Arabidopsis thaliana: one gene and its partners. The protein of the gene in region 3 interacts with the protein of the main gene of each other region in a pairwise test. Each region holds a gene or a part of one and is shown on either strand. Other genes may lie near its edges. The genes, in order: AT5G61630, LUL1 and PIP2B.

Evidence for each region.
Region 1: the proteins of PIP2B (region 3) and AT5G61630 interact in a protein complementation assay, tested with the Arabidopsis thaliana proteins (one large-scale study listed by BioGRID).
Region 2: the proteins of PIP2B (region 3) and LUL1 interact in a protein complementation assay, tested with the Arabidopsis thaliana proteins (one large-scale study listed by BioGRID).

What each region holds. Positions count from the first base shown.
Region 1 is NC_003076.8:24,771,583-24,778,061, forward strand, and holds AT5G61630 (uncharacterized protein), read right to left. Parts: upstream 2,997-6,479; 5' UTR 2,921-2,996; coding exon 2,677-2,920; intron 2,421-2,676; coding exon 2,221-2,420; 3' UTR 1,926-2,220; downstream 1-1,925. Other genes in the region: AT5G61620 (myb-like transcription factor family protein), read left to right, coding at 801-1,119, 1,193-1,404, 1,503-1,925; PMSR1 (peptidemethionine sulfoxide reductase 1), read left to right, coding at 3,444-3,881, 4,314-4,565.
Region 2 is NC_003076.8:758,862-765,468, forward strand, and holds LUL1 (RING/U-box superfamily protein), read right to left. Parts: upstream 2,980-6,607; 5' UTR 2,807-2,979; coding exon 2,364-2,806; intron 2,247-2,363; coding exon 1,781-2,246; intron 1,694-1,780; coding exon 1,589-1,693; 3' UTR 1,458-1,588; downstream 1-1,457. Other genes in the region: CPUORF47 (peptide upstream protein), read left to right, coding at 1-1,287; AT5G03204 (uncharacterized protein), read right to left, coding at 3,426-3,536; DIP2 (E3 ubiquitin-protein ligase), read right to left, coding at 4,209-4,478. UniProt on the Arabidopsis thaliana protein: Acts as an E3 ubiquitin-protein ligase, or as part of E3 complex, which accepts ubiquitin from specific E2 ubiquitin-conjugating enzymes and then transfers it to substrates (in vitro).
Region 3 is NC_003071.7:15,611,471-15,618,077, forward strand, and holds PIP2B (plasma membrane intrinsic protein 2), read right to left. Parts: upstream 3,553-6,607; 5' UTR 3,451-3,552; coding exon 3,021-3,450; intron 2,900-3,020; coding exon 2,604-2,899; intron 2,513-2,603; coding exon 2,372-2,512; intron 2,274-2,371; coding exon 2,154-2,273; 3' UTR 1,898-2,153; downstream 1-1,897. Other genes in the region: AT2G37160 (Transducin/WD40 repeat-like superfamily protein), read left to right, coding at 1-82, 163-250, 685-1,059; RD28 (Aquaporin-like superfamily protein), read left to right, coding at 6,309-6,607.

The DNA of each region.
Region 1 (6,479 bases), on a different chromosome or scaffold from region 3:
TTTTTACCACCGTAGATTTTGTATGTGTCACACACTGACTGCAATAAACAAATAAACAAAAAAGGTTTCCCTAAATAAGGAAACGAGGACTTTGTTCCTATATTGATCTAAATTTCCAAGTATCCAATTAGATCTCAACGCGTTTAGATTGGATCGAATTATATCACAAAGTTATTTAAAAAAATTATACTCTGAATTTATCGCAAATATATATAGGAGTATATATATGTAAAAACTTTGGAAGAAATAGAAATATGGGTAACTTAGGAAATATGAGATATTAACTAATATGGATGAAGATAAAAGTAAGTAAATTCCAGTTATATTAAGATTAGGATTGATATTGATAAAAATATGGGTAACTTAGGAAAGAAAATAAAAAAATAAAATCGAATATACGATTTAATATCTCTCCTAAATATCCGGGATCAATATCCAGTACATGTTTACCTGGAAAACAATCTAACGGCTGATTTTCCACGAATCCTATCTTAAGAAAATGTTAACCGTCGATTATGATCCTACGCTGATTCTGCTGGATTTTTCCTTATAATGACTTGGGTAAAAACTTCCAAATAAAACAAGATAATTAAGGAAACGCTTTATCTCTTAAGGAAAATAAAAAAATGTAAAAACACCAAGGACATTCACAAATAACAGCTCACGCATATCCGCATATATATATATATATATATATATATATATATCATTACACAAGAGAGTTTAAGGTATAAATACAATTAGCGAGATCTTGTGATTCTAATTCTTGTGATACCGAAAACATTGGTGGCGAGAGAGAGATGGTGAAGGAGACGGTGACGGTGGCGAAAACGTGCTCACACTGTGGCCATAATGGCCATAACGCACGGACTTGTCTCAACGGCGTTAATAAGGCAAGTGTTAAACTGTTCGGCGTTAATATATCGTCTGATCCGATTAGGCCGCCTGAGGTAACGGCGTTAAGGAAGAGTCTTAGTTTGGGAAACCTTGATGCTCTTCTCGCTAACGATGAAAGTAACGGTAGCGGTGATCCTATCGCCGCCGTTGATGATACCGGTTATCATTCCGATGGTCAGATTCATTCCAAGAAGGGTAAAACTGCTCATGAGAAGAAAAAGGGTACGTAATCTTCTAATCTCATCAATTTGATAATCTAAATTCAATGAAATTAATAAGAATAAATCAAATTCAGGGAAGCCATGGACGGAAGAAGAACATCGTAATTTCTTAATCGGTTTAAACAAACTCGGAAAAGGAGATTGGAGAGGCATTGCAAAGAGTTTCGTGTCGACAAGAACACCAACACAAGTCGCAAGTCATGCTCAGAAATATTTTATTAGGTTAAACGTTAACGACAAGAGAAAAAGACGTGCTAGTCTCTTTGACATCTCTCTCGAAGATCAGGTACTTATTTACCTTGTTTCTCAAGTAATCCATTGAGTCAATTGATTTGTCTAGGGCTATTTTTTAATTTAGGGTTTAATTGTTTTTTCATTAAACAGAAGGAGAAAGAGAGGAACTCTCAAGATGCTTCAACAAAGACTCCACCTAAACAACCAATAACCGGAATTCAACAACCGGTAGTACAAGGTCATACTCAAACCGAGATTTCGAACAGGTTTCAGAATTTATCAATGGAGTATATGCCAATCTACCAACCCATACCACCTTACTACAACTTTCCACCTATTATGTACCATCCAAATTATCCAATGTACTATGCCAACCCTCAAGTACCGGTTAGGTTTGTTCATCCTTCTGGTATACCTGTTCCAAGACATATACCGATTGGTTTGCCTCTGTCTCAACCGAGTGAAGCTTCTAATATGACAAATAAAGACGGTTTGGATCTTCATATCGGTTTGCCTCCACAAGCTACTGGAGCTTCTGACTTGACTGGTCATGGCGTTATTCATGTGAAATGAAATCTCATTTTTTGTGTGTTTATTTAAGCATGATATAGGTATATTGCTTCTTTTTTTTGGTGTTGAGTTTTATTTGAATATATAGCTCCATATTCAAAAGTTTTGCCAATCGGATTATGTATCATTTTTATTTCTTCCCAGATTAGATTAAATAAGAATATAGATATATTTGGATTTATATTTAGCTGCTTCTTTATCAACCAAAAACAAAACAAAAAAAATCTTAGTTTTGGTGAAGTTTATTGAGTAAAATCAACATTCATTGGGAGAAAATTAAAAAAATGGTGTTGATTAACTAGTAAAATCCTTTGATCAATTTCCTAGAAGCTCGTCTGGTTCTATCAGTGAGGTTTGGTTTGTCAGGATCTCCGAGTTCTAAGGTGGCACCCAAGAAACCGGTCTGAGTTCCATCGCTATCATTGTCGATGTCTCCTTCGATCGTCAATCCTTCAATCTTAGCCGCAATAGATTCTTCTCTCATCCCAACATCCACATCTTCAAAATTTGGATCGATGTTATAAGTGCCACAAAGAATAAAGTATCAACATGTAACAGTTACATAAAATATTTCCCAACTTCACAACCGCCAAATGCAGACATGATCTCTCTACCATTTGCAATCCAATTTGATCATGTTGGATTATTGCGGATGAGTTCGTGGTTAACAACATGCATGTTTTTTCTTTCACTTTAAAACCGGGCATGGTTTGATCAAACACAAGCATGTTTTTGGCTCACTAATTGTATATACCTGGATTTGAGAAGAGCCAAAGTACGAGAGCGCATGCAAGGAGAACAAATGGTATGATGTGAATGGCGTTTTCTGCGAATTTGGCACGTGACTTCTCCTTCTTAACCATCTCCTCTGGTGGATTATTGTAGGAAGGTAGTTCGTTCTCGTCGAGGGGACCGATCACCGAGCCCATCCACAATCCCTTAGGCGGTGCGGATGAGTAGTCTTCTGGCACTCGGTTCCAGCTCGCGGATCTATACATTTTGATAAGTATTTTTGGTTTTGATAGGTGTGTTCCAAAAACTCTATAGAAATTACGTTTTTAGGATGTTGATGGTTTTTGAGCTTAATCAGTTTCTTTGTTACATTTTAGTCACAGTTTTTTATTTCTTAGAAGAAAAAAGAATCCGGATTGAATTGCGAATTTAGAGCCTATGGTTTTGGTACATTTGGATCGAAATAAGGACTTTGTCAAATCGTTCAATCTAATCACTCATTTTTCCATTTGAGAGTGACAAAAACAACCATTTCTTTAGATTCTTTGTTTTCTTCTTCTATTTCTGTGACATTTTATAAACATATGATTTGATCATGCTTGAAACTAACTAATCTTAGTTTTAAGATTTTAAAGATTAAAAAAAAAAAAAAAAAAAAGATTTTAAAGATTGTCAATTTGAACTGCTTGAATGAAATGTCAACCAAAACTGGTTTCTAAAATTATTTTTATCGTTATTCAAAACGTAAACGCAAACGCGAATTTTATACCTGTCAGAATTTGGTACAAAATGTTCCGCAGAATCAGCCGACGTTTCCTCTTCACCACTTTCCTCTGTTTCTCTGTTTCGCTCTCTCTACAAAATTTCTCCATGAACATACTTAACAAGCTAGGTATAGGATCAAGTAGACAAACCAACATGGATCCTTCTCCAATCGCACAAGTAATCGACGACGAAGCTCCGGCGCCGGGAAACCAGTTTACTCAATTCGGCGCCGGTTGTTTCTGGAGCGTGGAATTAGCGTACCAGAGAGTTCCAGGAGTGACTCAAACAGAGGTTGGTTATTCTCAAGGGATCACTCACGATCCTTCTTACAAAGATGTTTGTTCAGGTACCACGAATCATGCCGAGATTGTTCGTGTTCAATATGATCCAAAAGAGTGTAGTTACCAGTCGCTGCTTGATTTGTTCTGGTCTAAGCATGATCCCACCACTTTGAATCGGCAGGTAACGAAAGTTTTGCTCTTTAGAATGTCTGATTTTGTGAGTTTTAAGTTTTGATTTTGGTGATTGAGGAAGATTTCTAGGGTTTCTAGGGCTTGCTTGAAATATTGAGCTCTAAATAGATTGAAATCTAGGGTTTGGATGATGTAATACTTTGGATTCATTTCATGTTCTGTTGGTACAAAATTTAGGTTTTATGTTTGAAACTGAACAGAGAGACTCATACATCTTCTCTTTGATAAGGATGTGAATTTGGCTATCGTTCTTGTCATCTTTGGTCACTGAACCATCCTTATGTGTATTTTGGTAGTTTCTTAGAGAGCACTTAACCAGCTCTTATGCAGAATCACTATTTATTTGGTAGTTTATCTGCTTGTCGTGCATTATGTTCGAATTTGTTTCTCTGTTTTAATGAGTACATCCTTATCTGATCAGGGAAATGATGTGGGAACCCAATACCGTTCAGGGATATATTTCTACAACCCGGAGCAAGAGAAACTAGCACGCGAGTCACTGGAGCGGCACCAGCAACAAGTTGACAGGAAGGTTGTGACAGAGATCTTACCGGCTAAGAAATTTTATAGAGCTGAGGAACATCACCAGCAATACTTGTCTAAAGGAGGGAGGTTTGGTCTTAAGCAATCAACGGAAAAAGGCTGCAACGACCCAATCCGCTGCTACGGGTAAAAGCCTTGCTTCTAACCGAAAGCAGAGGATGCTTCCACTTATCTATGATAGATTATAGCAATTATCGTTGAAAAATAAAGAAGCCGAGGCTACTTATGTAACTTGTTCTTGTTCATAAAACTTTTTAAGTGTTCAATCCTTTAGGTATATAGTATTGTTTGGATGTTCTCGATTGAATTTGTTCTTGTAAGATTCATCAAAACTAGTTTGAGTAAAACGTAAAATGATTTTTTAGTGTCTTTTACTCAGCATCAGTTTTAGTTAGTGTACTAGGCTCTAACTTAAAGGGTTAAATTGATCCAAACCAAAGTGAACTCTAATTTGGAAAATCAAATTAAAAATGATAGAAAACATTCTTCATCCAAACAAATCAAAACGGAAATAGGCAAAATTTTGAACATTGCGTTAGGGTGGATAACCTTTTAAGCTATCAGCCAACTATTGGACGAGGAGATTATACTCCAAATTTTGGAATTGTATGTTTTTCTTTTTGGGTTTTAAATTAATGTGGTCTCAACTAATATGAATAAGGTAAGTAAAATAAGCACCGTTCATACAAAGTACAGAAGAAAAGATAATGGAAGGGGAAGTCAAGCAAGTGAAAAAGACAGAAGCGAGAGAGATCTTGTGATAACAAAAATCTGCTTAAATAGAATGTTGACAACGTGTTGTTCATTATCTCTCTAACGTGAATAGCACGAATTTTAAGTTCAGCCTCGCAACTCTCTTACGTGGCTTTCTCTCAGTCGCATTTTCGTTAATTAAATGCTAACTTATGATTGAGAGTTCATCGGTTTCGTCCCATTCGTCGAACATAAAGTTAATTAAATGCTAACTATGGACAATTCTATTAATATACGATAAAGTTTTATAATGGTAGGTGTTTTTTGGCGAATTTAATAAACTGCATGTTAAGACTTCAAGCAAAAAATACTATTATCTTGTTCCAAATAAAGTGATGATTCACGAACGTCAACTAAAAGAAATTTCGTGGAAAAAGAAAAAATATGTTTCATGAAACATCTAAAATAAAACAATTACTAATTGCAATAATTTAAAGTAATTTTTGCTAGCTAGTTTCTAACTCAATTGTATGATTTCACTTCAATTATTATACTATATATTTTCTTCAGTACTTTGTTAAGATATCTTTTTTTTTGGTGCGAAATGTTAAGATATCCTGACATCTATATTTATATTCAGACTAATAGAAATTCTTGTAAAGCTTAAGAGAAATACGAATGTGATGAAAACTTAAGGGCTAGTTTGGCAGGTAAACCAACTTAACCCCAAGGAAAAACCAAATCTTAAGTTACTATTATTGTATATTCTTTCTCAAACACAACAAATTAATCATATCCTCCCAATGTTTAAAACTCAAGCTTAAGAGTTTTTTTTCTCCTGCAAGCTACAATCATTTTTGATAGAAAATTTATACCTTTTGATGGATTCAGAAATCAGAAGTCTCCTTAGTCCTTAAAAAAAGAAAGTTTAGTACGCTAAAACAAATTCACCCTAAAACTCTATAAATTGCCTATATTTCCATTGGGTTTTCCCGCTTTTTTCTTCTCTTGTAAATTTCTATAATTTTCCATGTTTTAGAAGCTAAGTTAGTTAATATCACCAGAAGTCGGTTTAATTAATAATAAATTCTCAGGCCAATGGCTTAACCATGCGATGATCATAATCACTAGATTGTTAATTCAAAACTAATCTTGAGTATTCAAATGAAACTACAAAATCAAACATAAAATGCGTGATTTGTGAACTACCACATGATAATAATTTTAGTTGAAGAGTTTTAACGTTTACTAGGGAATATATTTCCATCCAACTATATTTTTTCAAGGATATACATAAAATAAGACTTTTATTGTTTCGTAAAAAATGCATTTAGTTTTAAACAAAAATCTA
Region 2 (6,607 bases), on a different chromosome or scaffold from region 3:
CTCATCATCGCCTCTGCTCTATCTGTTGTCCCTTTGTTGGAGTTAACCGCTAAAAATCACGTCTTTGGTGATCATGGAGCAGTGGATTTGGTCGATCTCGGCCGATTTGTTATTCCAGGACCGAAATTGTTCTTCCATAAGCTCGTTCAACCATTCTGGGGTAAAATTGAGACAGAGAAGTATCCACAAGTGGTAATTGCTGATCTCGTTGATGAGCTCATGGGGTTAAAGCTATTGCATTATGATGCTAAGATTCTCTGCATTGGTCAGGGATCGGATTCTGCTGTTTCAGGGTTCAAAGAGATGGGTTTCTCAGTTGTTCAAGGGGTTCCTAAGCATCCATTGTTTTCCTTTTTCAGTAGGAAGCATGTCAACGAGCTTGAGCTTAGTGGTGACAAGTCTTTTGATTTCGTGCTCTGTGGGGATGTTGATCATGTTGCTTCCCCTGCTCTTCTTGTGCTTGAGATGGAGCGGGTTCTGAAGCCTGGTGGAACCGGAGCAGTCCTTGTGAGTACTAATGCCAATCGTCTTGTCAAATCCGTGACTTCGGGGCTTAAGCAGTCTGAGATAGTGCGTGTGAACAACTTGGATAAGTTCACCGTCATTGTATTCAAGAGGAATGTAACGGAGACTGCTTATTGTATTGGAAAGTCTCAGCTACCAAGAGATTGCAAATCTGTTGACACCAATAGACCTTACACAGAGTTCATGGAACCTCTACTGGAGCAAAAGCCTGCTGATTTCCCAAAATCAGTAGCTTACTTACCTAAATTCCTTGATCTCTCTCTGAAAAAGAGCCTTGTCTACATTGACATTGGAGCAGCCGAGCACATGGATGCTAATTTAACTCCAAACTGGTTCTTTCCGTTATACCCACTCGACAGCAAAGCATTCAATGTCTACTTTGTCGACCACAACACTTCAGTAATGCTATCCTATGTCAAGAAACCCGGCGTCACCTTTGTTTACCATCCGGATTTGGCTGAGAACAACTCGACAGGGAAAAAGATAACTCCGCTTGAACAGCTAGAACCATTTCCAGAAGATGAGAGATTCGATTTCCTTGCTTGGTTTGAGGAAACTGCGAAATACGCAGACTTTGTAGTCCTTAAGATGAACACAAACCAAGTGGAAATGAAGTTCCTAACTGTTTTACTGGAAACAGGAGTCATATGCTACGTGGATGAGCTTTTCCTCCGCTGTTCCAACCACAAGTCAGACTGCATCAACATGCTTCAAACTCTGAGAGCCAGAGGTGTGTTTGTTCATCAATGGTGGGAAGACTAAACCAATGTAAAACTCAATCTCGCTTCGCCTTAGTCTTATCTACGTCGATTCGTGTCTGTCTTTGTCTCAGTTGTAATGCCATCACCTTCTGTGTTTGCCATAGTTGGTCCTCGGCCACCACAGCTCCTGGCCAAGCACCTATAACTAAATAAGAAGCTGCCTATCTGTTTATCATTGCTATTTAAGAACTCAGTTTCCACTTATAATATATTGAACCATAACGTTTTACGTCTTAATTAAGCATGGCATATATTACACAAGTCGATTGCTTAACTAAATTTGTTCATTCTCCATCTCCATTTCATCCGTTCTTGTTAATCTCCAAAAGCATCTCAACAGGTTGTCTGCAAACTGGGCACAGATTTGTCTGAAACCTTAACGCCTTTGCGCACCCGCTACACATACACTGCCAAACAGAAATACACAAACCATTTCAAAAGAAGTTCAATTTTTTTTTTATATGAGCTAATTTTAAGTATGATGAACACTATACCATGTGTCTGCAAGGAAGAACAGTTGTATCGCGTGGTTCAGACAAGCATACAACACATTCCTTTCCCTCATCGGAACCATCAACCGTGTTCTCAATCCCATAAATCTCAAGCAGCTCATACCTCCTCTTATTCACCCATAGTATCTGCTTCACCACTTCTATTTTAATCTCTCCTTTCTCCTTGGTATACACCACTTGAGTAATCTGCACATTGGTGGAACCAGACTTTCCTTCTTCCGCTGGAGTTGCCTCCGCCTTAACCGCCAACGGGAAGACATCTGTATCCACCTCCTTGAATAGCTCGGAATCTTTAAACGCCGTCAAGTCTATACCCGTTCCAGATGATTGTATGAACTTCTGACCAAGTCCTTCTCCGAAATCAAAAGTGATTGGAGGCAAAGTATCTTCCTTTGTAGCTCTAAGATTACATTCTGCATCTTCTGTAGCAAAGAAAACAACTGTGATCCTGTTCTCGCCAACCAAAACAACAAAAGCTAAGTCATTTATATTACTCCATTGATTGATTCAAACAAGATTCAAACTTTTAACTAAATTTGATCATTTCATAGTTTGAAAGTAAAACCTTCCGGGCATGGATGCATCAAATGTGAAGGAGACAAGAAGTCGATTCGGATTCTCCGGGTCGGGTATGAGCGTTAAAGTCTTCTTCTTCAGATTAACATCGTTACGAATCGTGACGGCTTTCTGGTGGACGTACGTAGGAGGCGGCAGTATAGGGTATCTACCGCCGTGAAACAAAGGATGAGGTAGTTGGTAACTGTTGGGAGGATAGTGATGCAAATGGTTGAAATTGTACGGTAGCATCGGCGGCTCAGTTACTGGCGGAGGAAGGCAGTTACCTGGATACTGGTCAACGTAGTTAGGGTTAGGGTTCAGATATGGTGGCACGGCGGCGAATACAAATCTGTTCGGTGGGAGTTCAAGAGGAGCCGTTTCCATCGCCGGAGGAATATTGCTCCTCTGCCTTCTCCCGCAGCAGAAGATCAAACTGATCAGATTCCCCATGATCGGAAAAAGAAAAAAGGTGAGGTTTTTCGGTGATTCAGTTGATAAGGAGTAGAATCGAAGTAGGTTTTATGATCATTGAGAAAGGGGAGTAATGAGATTGGAGATAGCGACGTCGACGAAGAAACACCAAAACGTTTATTTGTATATATTATAAATTAGTATTAAACTTGATTAATTACCATGGGAAATTGATTATTACTTTTAATCACATAAAACAAAGAAATCATTATCAGTAGCACTAGGCAGGCAATAGGCCCAAGGCCTCACAACAATATCACGGTTACAAAATAAGAAGAAACGAAATGACAAAACCGGAGACACGAGATTGGTTTTGGAGGTTGATCGGAAAACAAAGAAACACATCCATTAATACCGGCGATTACAAGAAGCACTGCTCGTCATTAAGAAACATCTTGCACTGATCGTCATTAAGAAACATCTTCTCTTATGTCTGATTATATAGGAGATCATAATAACGTCGATAAAAAAGAGTTTAAAGTGGAAATCAACCAAGAAATAGAAAGCACTATCAAGATATATTTCAAAATGAATATTTCATTAAAATGGATTAAAAAATAATTAAACACTCGAGTTTTGATCTTGTCTTGTTAAAATTTTACTCATCGTGTTCCTCATAAATTGTCCCCAGCGAAGGCGAAGCTGAAACCCTCATCGGATAAACAAGAATCGCCGGTACAGTTTCGAATGGTCCGATCATCCTAGCCATGATTTGTAAATATACTCTTTCTTCGATTTAGACTTCGGCAGCTTTCGACTGTGTTGAGAAGATCTATGTGGAAATTATTGTTATTGCTGATATTTATAGAGATAGAGAGGAATAGTAGTAGTGTAATTAACTAATCATCAAGTGATCTTTATATATTTGTATACTTTTTTATAGGACGCAGCTTAATACTTATCGCACGTGATATTTATGTTTCATATTTAGGTGATGCTCGAAAGTTGAAACATAAGTATGCGTACACTGCTTTAGTTTGCAGATAAATCATACATGTCTTTATTAAAAATTAATGTAAATTAGATTCTTTTGGTTGAGAAAATGATCGCACCAAACAGAAATAGCGGTGAGACTGGTTTCAGGTTTAAGTTTGGTTTGATATTTGAAGATACTGATTTTTTGTCGTGGACCGGTTATCGTCCCGGTTCGGTTAGAAAGTATATTAAGATTTGTCTTTAATTACCAACTCGTGAGCATATAACAACAGATCACCGAGCGTACAAGATGTGAAAGTTGAATGAAAATTTCACAAAGAACTGAGATTTGATTGTACAAAAGATACAATACAAAATCTCATCTTATACAGTTATAGAAAAAACAACAACAACAACAAGAGTCTATCTTAAACCCAAGACCGAGTAACAAAATGATCATTACAATTTACACGTCCTCGTTTTCTTGTTCTTGATTGTCTTCTTCGGTCTCTCCGCCTTCTAAAATCGTCTCAAGAATCGGAGAAACCGATGGCTTCGCCGGAGAAATGATTTGTGGAGGAACAGCCTCCATCCACCACGCCACATCCACCACCACCGTCAGATTCTGATCGCACCGATTATCAAAGAAACACATATTCGCTTCACTAGATATTATTTTAGATTTGCGGAAGTAATTCAAATTGTTACTTTTTGAGTTGAATTGATACGTGTTCATTTGTTCGTATTTATAGAGAGATTGACGCGTGGAGATATGTGGAACAATGATGGGTTTGACGTAAGAGTCGGACAAGTGGACGATCCACAATGTTTAAGTTAGTTTGTTGACTTGGTCTTATTTGCTAATAATAATGAAACCAACACGAATATTCTAGAACCTCTTGTTGTCGTCATTATCAACAAGTCTCGAATGTGCAACACGTGTGAGCTCTTGTCTCACACGTCTATATCTCCGCTAAGATTTTTTTTTGTTGTTGTCAATGTTAGGATATTTCTTTATGCGTCGTATATTGCAAAATACTAGACACACACTTAGGGTTTGAAGTTTCTCAGCAATTGTGTGGGTACGCTTTGGACAAATACACTACTCTACAAATTAGTTTAGACCGCGTTTGACTCGGTAACGTTAGAAGCAGATTAGACACTAATTAGGCCCAAGTTAAACTATCATGGGCTCATTCGTAAACTTAGTTCTAATGGGCTCTCAACATCAGATCTTAATATTTATAGAGAGCATGAGGTCAAATGCGTAGTTCCGTATATGAGAATTATGAAACTGAACCCATAAGCATTTTAATCACGCTGAGGAAAGTAGCCACTTCTCGTTTAACTAATACGGTAATACCTCATTCTGCCTGTTTTATTGATTTGTTTGGATATTTTGGTGCAATTCGATTAAAAATGTACCTAGAAAACAAAATTAAAATTGAGAAAATAAAAAACGTACCAATTGATAGAAAAAAAGATTATTGTACGCTGAAAAAGTAGAAAGAACTAGATAATTTTTAGTGATGACAAAAACGAAAATCTTCTTTGTGAACTTAAATCGCTGGAAAACATGCCATATGCAGAGTTAATCAAAACATTATTAGCAATCAATTGATATATGTATATATAAATATAAGATGCCTTAGCTTTTTCTTATATATATAATTAGGTTAATTAGAAAATAAGTCAATGGCCTGAAAAGGATTGGATAAGATAAGGATATTTGAAAGGTTGCTTTCATTCTTCTTGCAATTTCCCCCTTATTTTAGTTTTCTTAGCTTATAGAATTCATCCCTCATTTTCCGTCATTTGATATTATAACATAAGATGCATGAGGACGACAAAAATAGAAATAATAAGTGAATAGGTAGGTATACCATGTACTTGTCACTAGACGATTCGATATTTTACATAGAGATTAATCTATTTCTAGGGAATTATTGGCACCTTATGATCGAACATGTCACCTAAAAAAAGTGAGCTTATCACATCGCATAAGTTTTGCAAAAATATTCTTAAACTAATTTTTTAATGTATGTCAGAATAATGTTTCATCAATCGAGAATATGGATTAGAGATATAATTCACTAGCAAAATTTTACAAACGGATTCTTTTTTCTTTTTTTTTTGATAACCGAAATTGATATATGCTTGTATAGGGTGGTCGAAGCTAAGGTCTACCATAGTTAATTGCTAATTTAATTATTATTAGTTGTAAAACACACAAGATGACATCATTATTTGATCTAACACAATAAAAATAGAATTAGGCAAATGAAAATCGGTTTAGTAAACGACAAATCAACAATGTCATGTGTTTTGTTTTCTGATTTTGGTTCAATTTAATTATTTCAAAATAATTTTCTTGATATCCAAAGATCCATTTTTAATTCTTTTATGAGAGAGGTTAGAGCTTTTACCCTCAAAGGCCTCGAAGCTATTTTTTATTTTTATTTTTTTTTGTAATGTGTCATTTTTAGGAGTCCATTTTTCGAACATAACATAAGCATAGATACAATACGGAGCTGATCATTTGACATAATATGAAATTTTCCAACAGTTATTTGTTCGGTGATAAAACAATAATTGAAATCCCAACAAGTAGAAGATATGCAACTAACAAGAAAGATTACGATCATACGGCTGAACAATGAGAATTTGATGTTTCTTAATCACGTAGGATTCTATGCATAATTAGAATATATAGGAATATTATTAAAGACAAGAGAAGATTTAAGAAGCTCGATTATTATCTTACTACATGCATTATTATTATTTGTTTTTTTTCTTGGTACTTGTGTTTTGTTATGTATCTCAAAGCTCCAATTATGTAGAGGTCATCGACCAATAATTAATCAA
Region 3 (6,607 bases):
GTGAAGATGACTTGGTTCAAGTGTGGAGTATGGAAGATCGAAAGGTTGTGGCATGGGGTGAGGGACACAATTCGTGGGTAAGGTTCTTAAATTGGAGTATAGTGAATTACGTATGTAAGACAAACACTACTTGACTTATGTGAAAGCTTCCTCATAGGTAAGTGGTGTGGCGTTTGATTCGTATTGGTCGTCACCAAATTCAGAGGGGTCTGGCGAGAATGTCATGTATCGGTTTGGTTCTGTTGGTCAGGTATTCAGTTATACTAAACACTTTTTTGCTTTAACGTTGAGAGTATACCTTGACCTATATCTGAGAATTGAACAGTGTTAATACCTTTATTTCTATTAGTTTAACAGGATACAGATTGTAGAATGATTCTAGTGTAGGGGAGCGATAAAGAGTGAGAGAAGTGAGATGAAATCTTTGATTGGAAATTTCATGTAGACGATGCTATCACCCCATATGACCAAAAGAAATTCCCAATTAAAGATTTCATCTTACTTCCCTCATGTGGCTTTTGCCAGATTACGGGTATAGATTTGTTAATCTGCTGGGTAGAAATTTGTTAGAAAATGGCACGCCCTGTGGTCATTGTTTGATAACTTATACTATGATCATCTTTGGGGTTTTGGGCCTTTTGGCTTGCATTCCATGTCTTTATTCCCTTTTCTTGTGCCGAACAGGACACACAGTTACTGCTATGGGACCTAGAAATGGATGAGATTGTTGTTCCCCTACGGCGACCTCCAGGAGGATCACCCACTTACAGCACAGGGAGTCAGTCCGCTCACTGGGACAACATTGTTCCAATGGGCACTCTTCAGCCAGCGCCGTGCATGCGCGATGTCCCAAAGCTCTCACCAGTAGTGGCTCACCGTGTTCACACCGAGCCCCTCTCGGGCTTGATCTTCACCCAAGAATCATTGATAACAGCTTGCAGAGAAGGCCATTTAAAGATCTGGACACGACCTGACACCCAGCCCAGCAGCAGCTCAGAAGCAACAAATCCAACCACAAGCAAACCCTCGCTGACCAGCAAGGTTGGTGGTTCCAGTTAATTCAGTCACCATTTAAATCATATTGTTTCAGGTCGTGGTTTCGAAAGGAAACCCTGTGAATATCTCTCCTCGGTACTGAATCTGACTCTATCGATGTGTGGGAGAGAGGCTGAGACATTTCTGGGGATTGATGGAGATGAAAGGAGATAAAGAGAGTTTTCAGATGTAATTAAGAGAAAACAGATCTTTTGGATTTTAGGGTTTATATCCAACAAAAGCTAACCAAAAACTAATAATTCAAGATTGGTGCTTCGGAAGAAGACGCAAAAGTGTATTTTCTTGCAGTTGCAAAACTGTTACGAAATTTTTAAAGTTTTCCTATTATTGTTTCGATTTATGTAAAACCCTGATTTTGGTCTTGAGGCACATTTTTTGGATAATCTACATTGGATTAAAGAAATTTCGAAGTTTTTGTCTGTATGACCATCTATAGGTTTTTAATATTTTGTTCACGCTCTTCTTGATATTGTTATTTCTGAAAATGACGTTTGTATACTTTAAGTAAAGTGACGCAAATTAGTTGTTGAACCAACAGCTTTCCTGCGTAAGCTCTCGTTACAAATTCTATGAGCTTAAACTAGTGAGTGGAATGTCAACTCAAAACTAAGTGTTCAACAAAATTCGTTTTTGGTGTAGATTAATTGAATTTGAGACGATCTTACCAATTGACTTGTGCTTTAGTTGTTGTTTAATTAGGTGATGGCGACAAGCTGACAAAAAAGTGCCAAACACATAAGTTTTTGTTCTGTCTTAATCCTCTTCAGTGGAGGATAATTTAAATCACATGAACTTATAAATTATAACTATTAATGTAGTCTATGTAGATATGCTTTTAGCTGGTAATATCATCTGTATAAAATAAAAAGAGGGAGGAGAAGGCAAAACAATTTGGTTTTCATTAATTGTTTTCCCGAGTACACAAACATTGGCATTGGCACATATCAAAGTATTACACCACAATGAAAACAGAAAAACAAGAAGAAATATAGTGCATAGTTTTACAAGCAAAGTTGCCAATTTTTGTACATACATAATAACACAACCATTTTGTAATTGTTGTTATTATGATAGGTTTTTTTTTGTGTGGCAAAAACTCAAACGTTGGCTGCACTTCTGAAGGATCCAAGTGACTTGGAACCTGAAGCCCTTAGGACAAATTGGTGATAAAATGCAGCTATCGCAGCTCCAATGAATGGTCCCACCCAGAATATCCACTGTATTTAGATAGACCAAAAAAACAGTTCATTATTTTCCCATCAAACAATAGTCCATAATTTGATTAATTTTAAATAATTAAGAAATAGAAACGTACGTGGTCATCCCATGGCTTGCTCTTGTTATAGATTACGGCAGCTCCGAAACTCCTAGCCGGGTTGATGCCGGTTCCGGTGATCGGAATAGTGGCCAAATGTACCATAAACACCGCAAACCCAATCGGAAGTGGCGCCAAAACCTTTCGTTTCATAATTCATAACACTAAGTATTAATTAATGTTATCGTATGTTACCAGAACGATCTTATAACTGATAGAAATAAATACTAACCGGAACGTGGGAGTCTCTAGCGTTACGTTTGGGATCAGTAGCGGAGAAGACTGTGTAGACGAGAACGAATGTTCCAATGATCTCTGCGGCTAGTCCGGTGCCTGTGTTGTAGCCGTCTGCTAGAGAGTTGGCTCCTCCACCGTAACGATCATAGTAAGAGCTTTGAAAGGCTTTGACGAAACCAACTCCACAAATAGCACCCAAACACTGAGCCACCATGTAAAGCACCGCCCTAATCAGCGATACCTTCCGGGCTAAGAACAAACCAAACGTCACCGCAGGGTTTATGTGACCACCTACAAAGTTCTTGGGGTTAATTTCAAATAAATTACAAAACAAAGGACAAATTTGAAAGGTCCACAAATGTTAAATTTTCTGAACCGGGTAATAAACCGGACCGGTTTCGATATATGATACCTGAGATACCGGCGGTGCAGTAGACAAGGATGAAGATCATGCCACCAAAAGCCCACGCGATGCCAAGGATTCCGACGCCGCCGCAGTCAACTCCACCGGCTTTTGTGTCGGACTGAATCTTGTAACCGATGACAGTTAAAACGGTGATGTACAAGAAGAGGAGAGTGGCTACGAACTCGGCAATGACGGCTCTGTATAAAGACCACTTGGTAAGCTCGTCCGCATCGAAAAACGGAGTTGGTGGCGGATCTTCGTAGTCTCTTGTCTGAAATCCCTCAGGTCCTTCCACGTCTTTGGCCATTTCTATAACTTTTTTTGTTATATATGAAAGTTGTGTTTTGTATTGTGGATATGTTGTGTTTGTGAAGACTGAAGAGACGAATGAAAGTTGTTTATATAGAGAGACTATAGCTATAGTGAGTGCTCTCATTAATTTTGCTTGTCAATATACGTTAATAATTGTATACGTGTTATTGATTGATTATATTACGATAATGTTTTCCTTTTGGTAGGCTTATGGTTGTTTTTATTATTCGTTTCAATGAAATGAATATAGAATTGTGTGTATGACGATTATGATTATTTTTGTGGAAACTTTCTTTCACTAATTAATTACCTAGCTAGCTGTCATGATGATATATAATCTAAACCAATCTAATCATTGCTACATAATCAATAGAAACTGATTTTGCTTAATATATTCATGTTCCACTGTTTTTTTTTTGTTTAAGCAGAATTTCCATATACATTAGTATAATTAACTGATGATAGTAAGAATTAGCTACTGCTAAGAGTTTTTCATCTCAATTAGTGTTTGTCATAATATGATAGTTAAGGTATTGTTTTGTTGACAAAATTAACTATAACTAAATTATTATTATTTTGGTTTCAACTTCAACTATTGATACAAATCTGTAACTAAAGATGAACTTATTTGAGATTCTGATTATTTAAAAGAATGATTGTGGAGCTATCAATAGGAACAGAGACCTTTTAATTCTAAAATTATGGTTGATAATGGAGTTTTGTGGTTAATTTAACTTAGCCTCGCCGCCCCATACCTAAACGTTGTTTTCATTTGGACCGACCCTAATATACTATATGCTTCTATATTTTTCTTTCTCTTGTCCTATGTCATGAGCCTTGTCCTCCCCCTAGAATAATATAGACTGTCACTCTTTTACACATAAAATAAATAAAAAATATGAAGTTATGAACCTTATCTATTTGGGCAATACTTGAAAGTTGTTACTTGTTAACGATAAAGCTTTTTGAACTACGAGATAGCTAGATTGATCAATAGTAAAATTTCTGATTATCTAGATTCTATCATCCTTCATTTAATTTCTAGAAGGAGCTCCTTATATAGTTATACTAGTTCTTATGCATGTAATTAGTAACGATTAAATTGACTTCCTATGCTCTTAACGTTACAAATCAAATCTATTAGGTGGATAAAAAAGAGTCTTTTGATAGCTCTCAGCTAACCCTACCATATAACAAAAACATAATTTATCACATGGACATGATAAAAGAAACGGCGTCGCTTCACGGGTTATGTTTCCACTAAAGTAGAAAATATGATGAAAGTTGGGTCCACTGGACCGGAGAAACCGCCCCATATAGAATTGATTAGCTCCGTCAATTGCATCGGCACCGTCCATACAGATTAAGTCCAACTCCAGTTCAGCCGTCCCAACCACTCCTCTTATGCCACGTTGTTTAGTCCCCATATTCAACAATCATTTGCTCTCACTCCTCAATTCCAAATTTCCAATTGCAATTTTCTTACGTATATTATTCAGTATTCACTAATCACTAGTCTGTCTACAAAAATAAATTGGAAAAATAAAAAGTGTACATAGACAAAAGGAATGTGGTGTAATGTGGTGTTCATGGCCAATGTTTTGCCACGTCACAATATCCTTATCGTTGTAGCGACATTTCTCTGCTCTTATTGGATTATATTTCCACGTCAGAAAGGTGCTCTCTCTCTCTCGGTCTCTCCCCTGGTTTTATTTTTGTTTTCTTTCATCTTTGTCGCTTTCTGTTTTGTTAAAGAATTGTCTACTCGATATTGGTTACGAATGGTATTGTTCTCTGTGGAAAAATGGGTTAATTTGTTATGATAAACATTTTTTGTTCCAAACAAATAAATGTTCTTTCATTTCATAGTAAATTTTTTAGTCTTCTGAACACACGTATATATATGCTTGCTAACAATGAATCCACAATAACAGATCATAAAATTACATCTGACTCATATGTAATTCTATCATGATATGTTGAGTCAATATATAGTCGATGGAGTATATATAGAGTTATAATTTGATTGTAGTGTCCTATGACAGATTTAACACTCAGCTTACACCGAAAAAGTTAAGTCTCAAATAAATTACGTATTTATGCGTTATTTAACTTATTATACAAAATGACCTAAAATACCATTTCATTTTCCTATACAAATATTCGCTTACTATATATACTATATGTTTACCAACTATCATGAAAAAGATGCACGAATGATCCAGAATGTGCTTGAAACGGCAGAAAAACAAAAGAATCGTGTGACACGATCGAGACAAATACTTTACTAATCATATAAAATCATTATTTATCAAAAACTTAAAAAGCACCTACAGTATATGCAATGTGGATACAGCTAAAAGATAAGGTATGTATGTTAACACACAAGTATATATGATCATCATTGTCAAATATGTTCACTTATATAATTGCTCACGTTTTATCGGTTTTTGGTTTTTTGTCAACGGTCAAATTTTTTGGGTGATGCCTAACAAAATTTAATGACGTGACTCTTGGGACGGTGATCTATCAGTAGCATTTAACAATCTAGTTATTTGGAAATGAATTACAGTATGAGATTTATACTATTTGTATAAACTTTTCAGGAAATGTTAAATTATATCTTTAGGAGATTTTTTGTATTGGTTCTCACTGATTTAGATTATCAAGTTACTGAGATAAAAAAAAAATTAATACTTGTTTTAGATTTCCTTTAGTTACCACTGACCAACTTCTTTAGCAAAAAAAAAAAATTACCACTAAACCAACTTATGCATTCGTTACAAAAAAAAATACCATAAAACAAAACATCAATGTTGTAAGTTGTGACATTAAATCAAAAGTGTCAAAATCAACAGTAGCACAAACCAAGAGCTCACTCTATATAAAGAACCTTTATTCTTCATCTCACAACCACAAGCCCTACAACAACCACAAAGCAAAACACTTACTTAGAAAGTCCAGAAACATCCATTAACACATATGGCTAAAGACGTGGAAGGACCTGATGGATTTCAGACGAGAGATTACGAAGATCCTCCGCCAACACCGTTTTTCGACGCAGAGGAGCTTACCAAGTGGTCTTTATACAGAGCAGTCATCGCCGAGTTCGTAGCCACTCTCCTCTTCTTGTACGTCACCGTTTTAACTGTCATTGGTTACAAGATTCAGTCCGACACAAAAGCCGGTGGAGTTGACTGCGGCGGCGTCGGAATCCTTGGCATCGCGTGGGCTTTTGGTGGCATGATCTTCATCCTTGTCTACTGCACCGCCGGTATCTC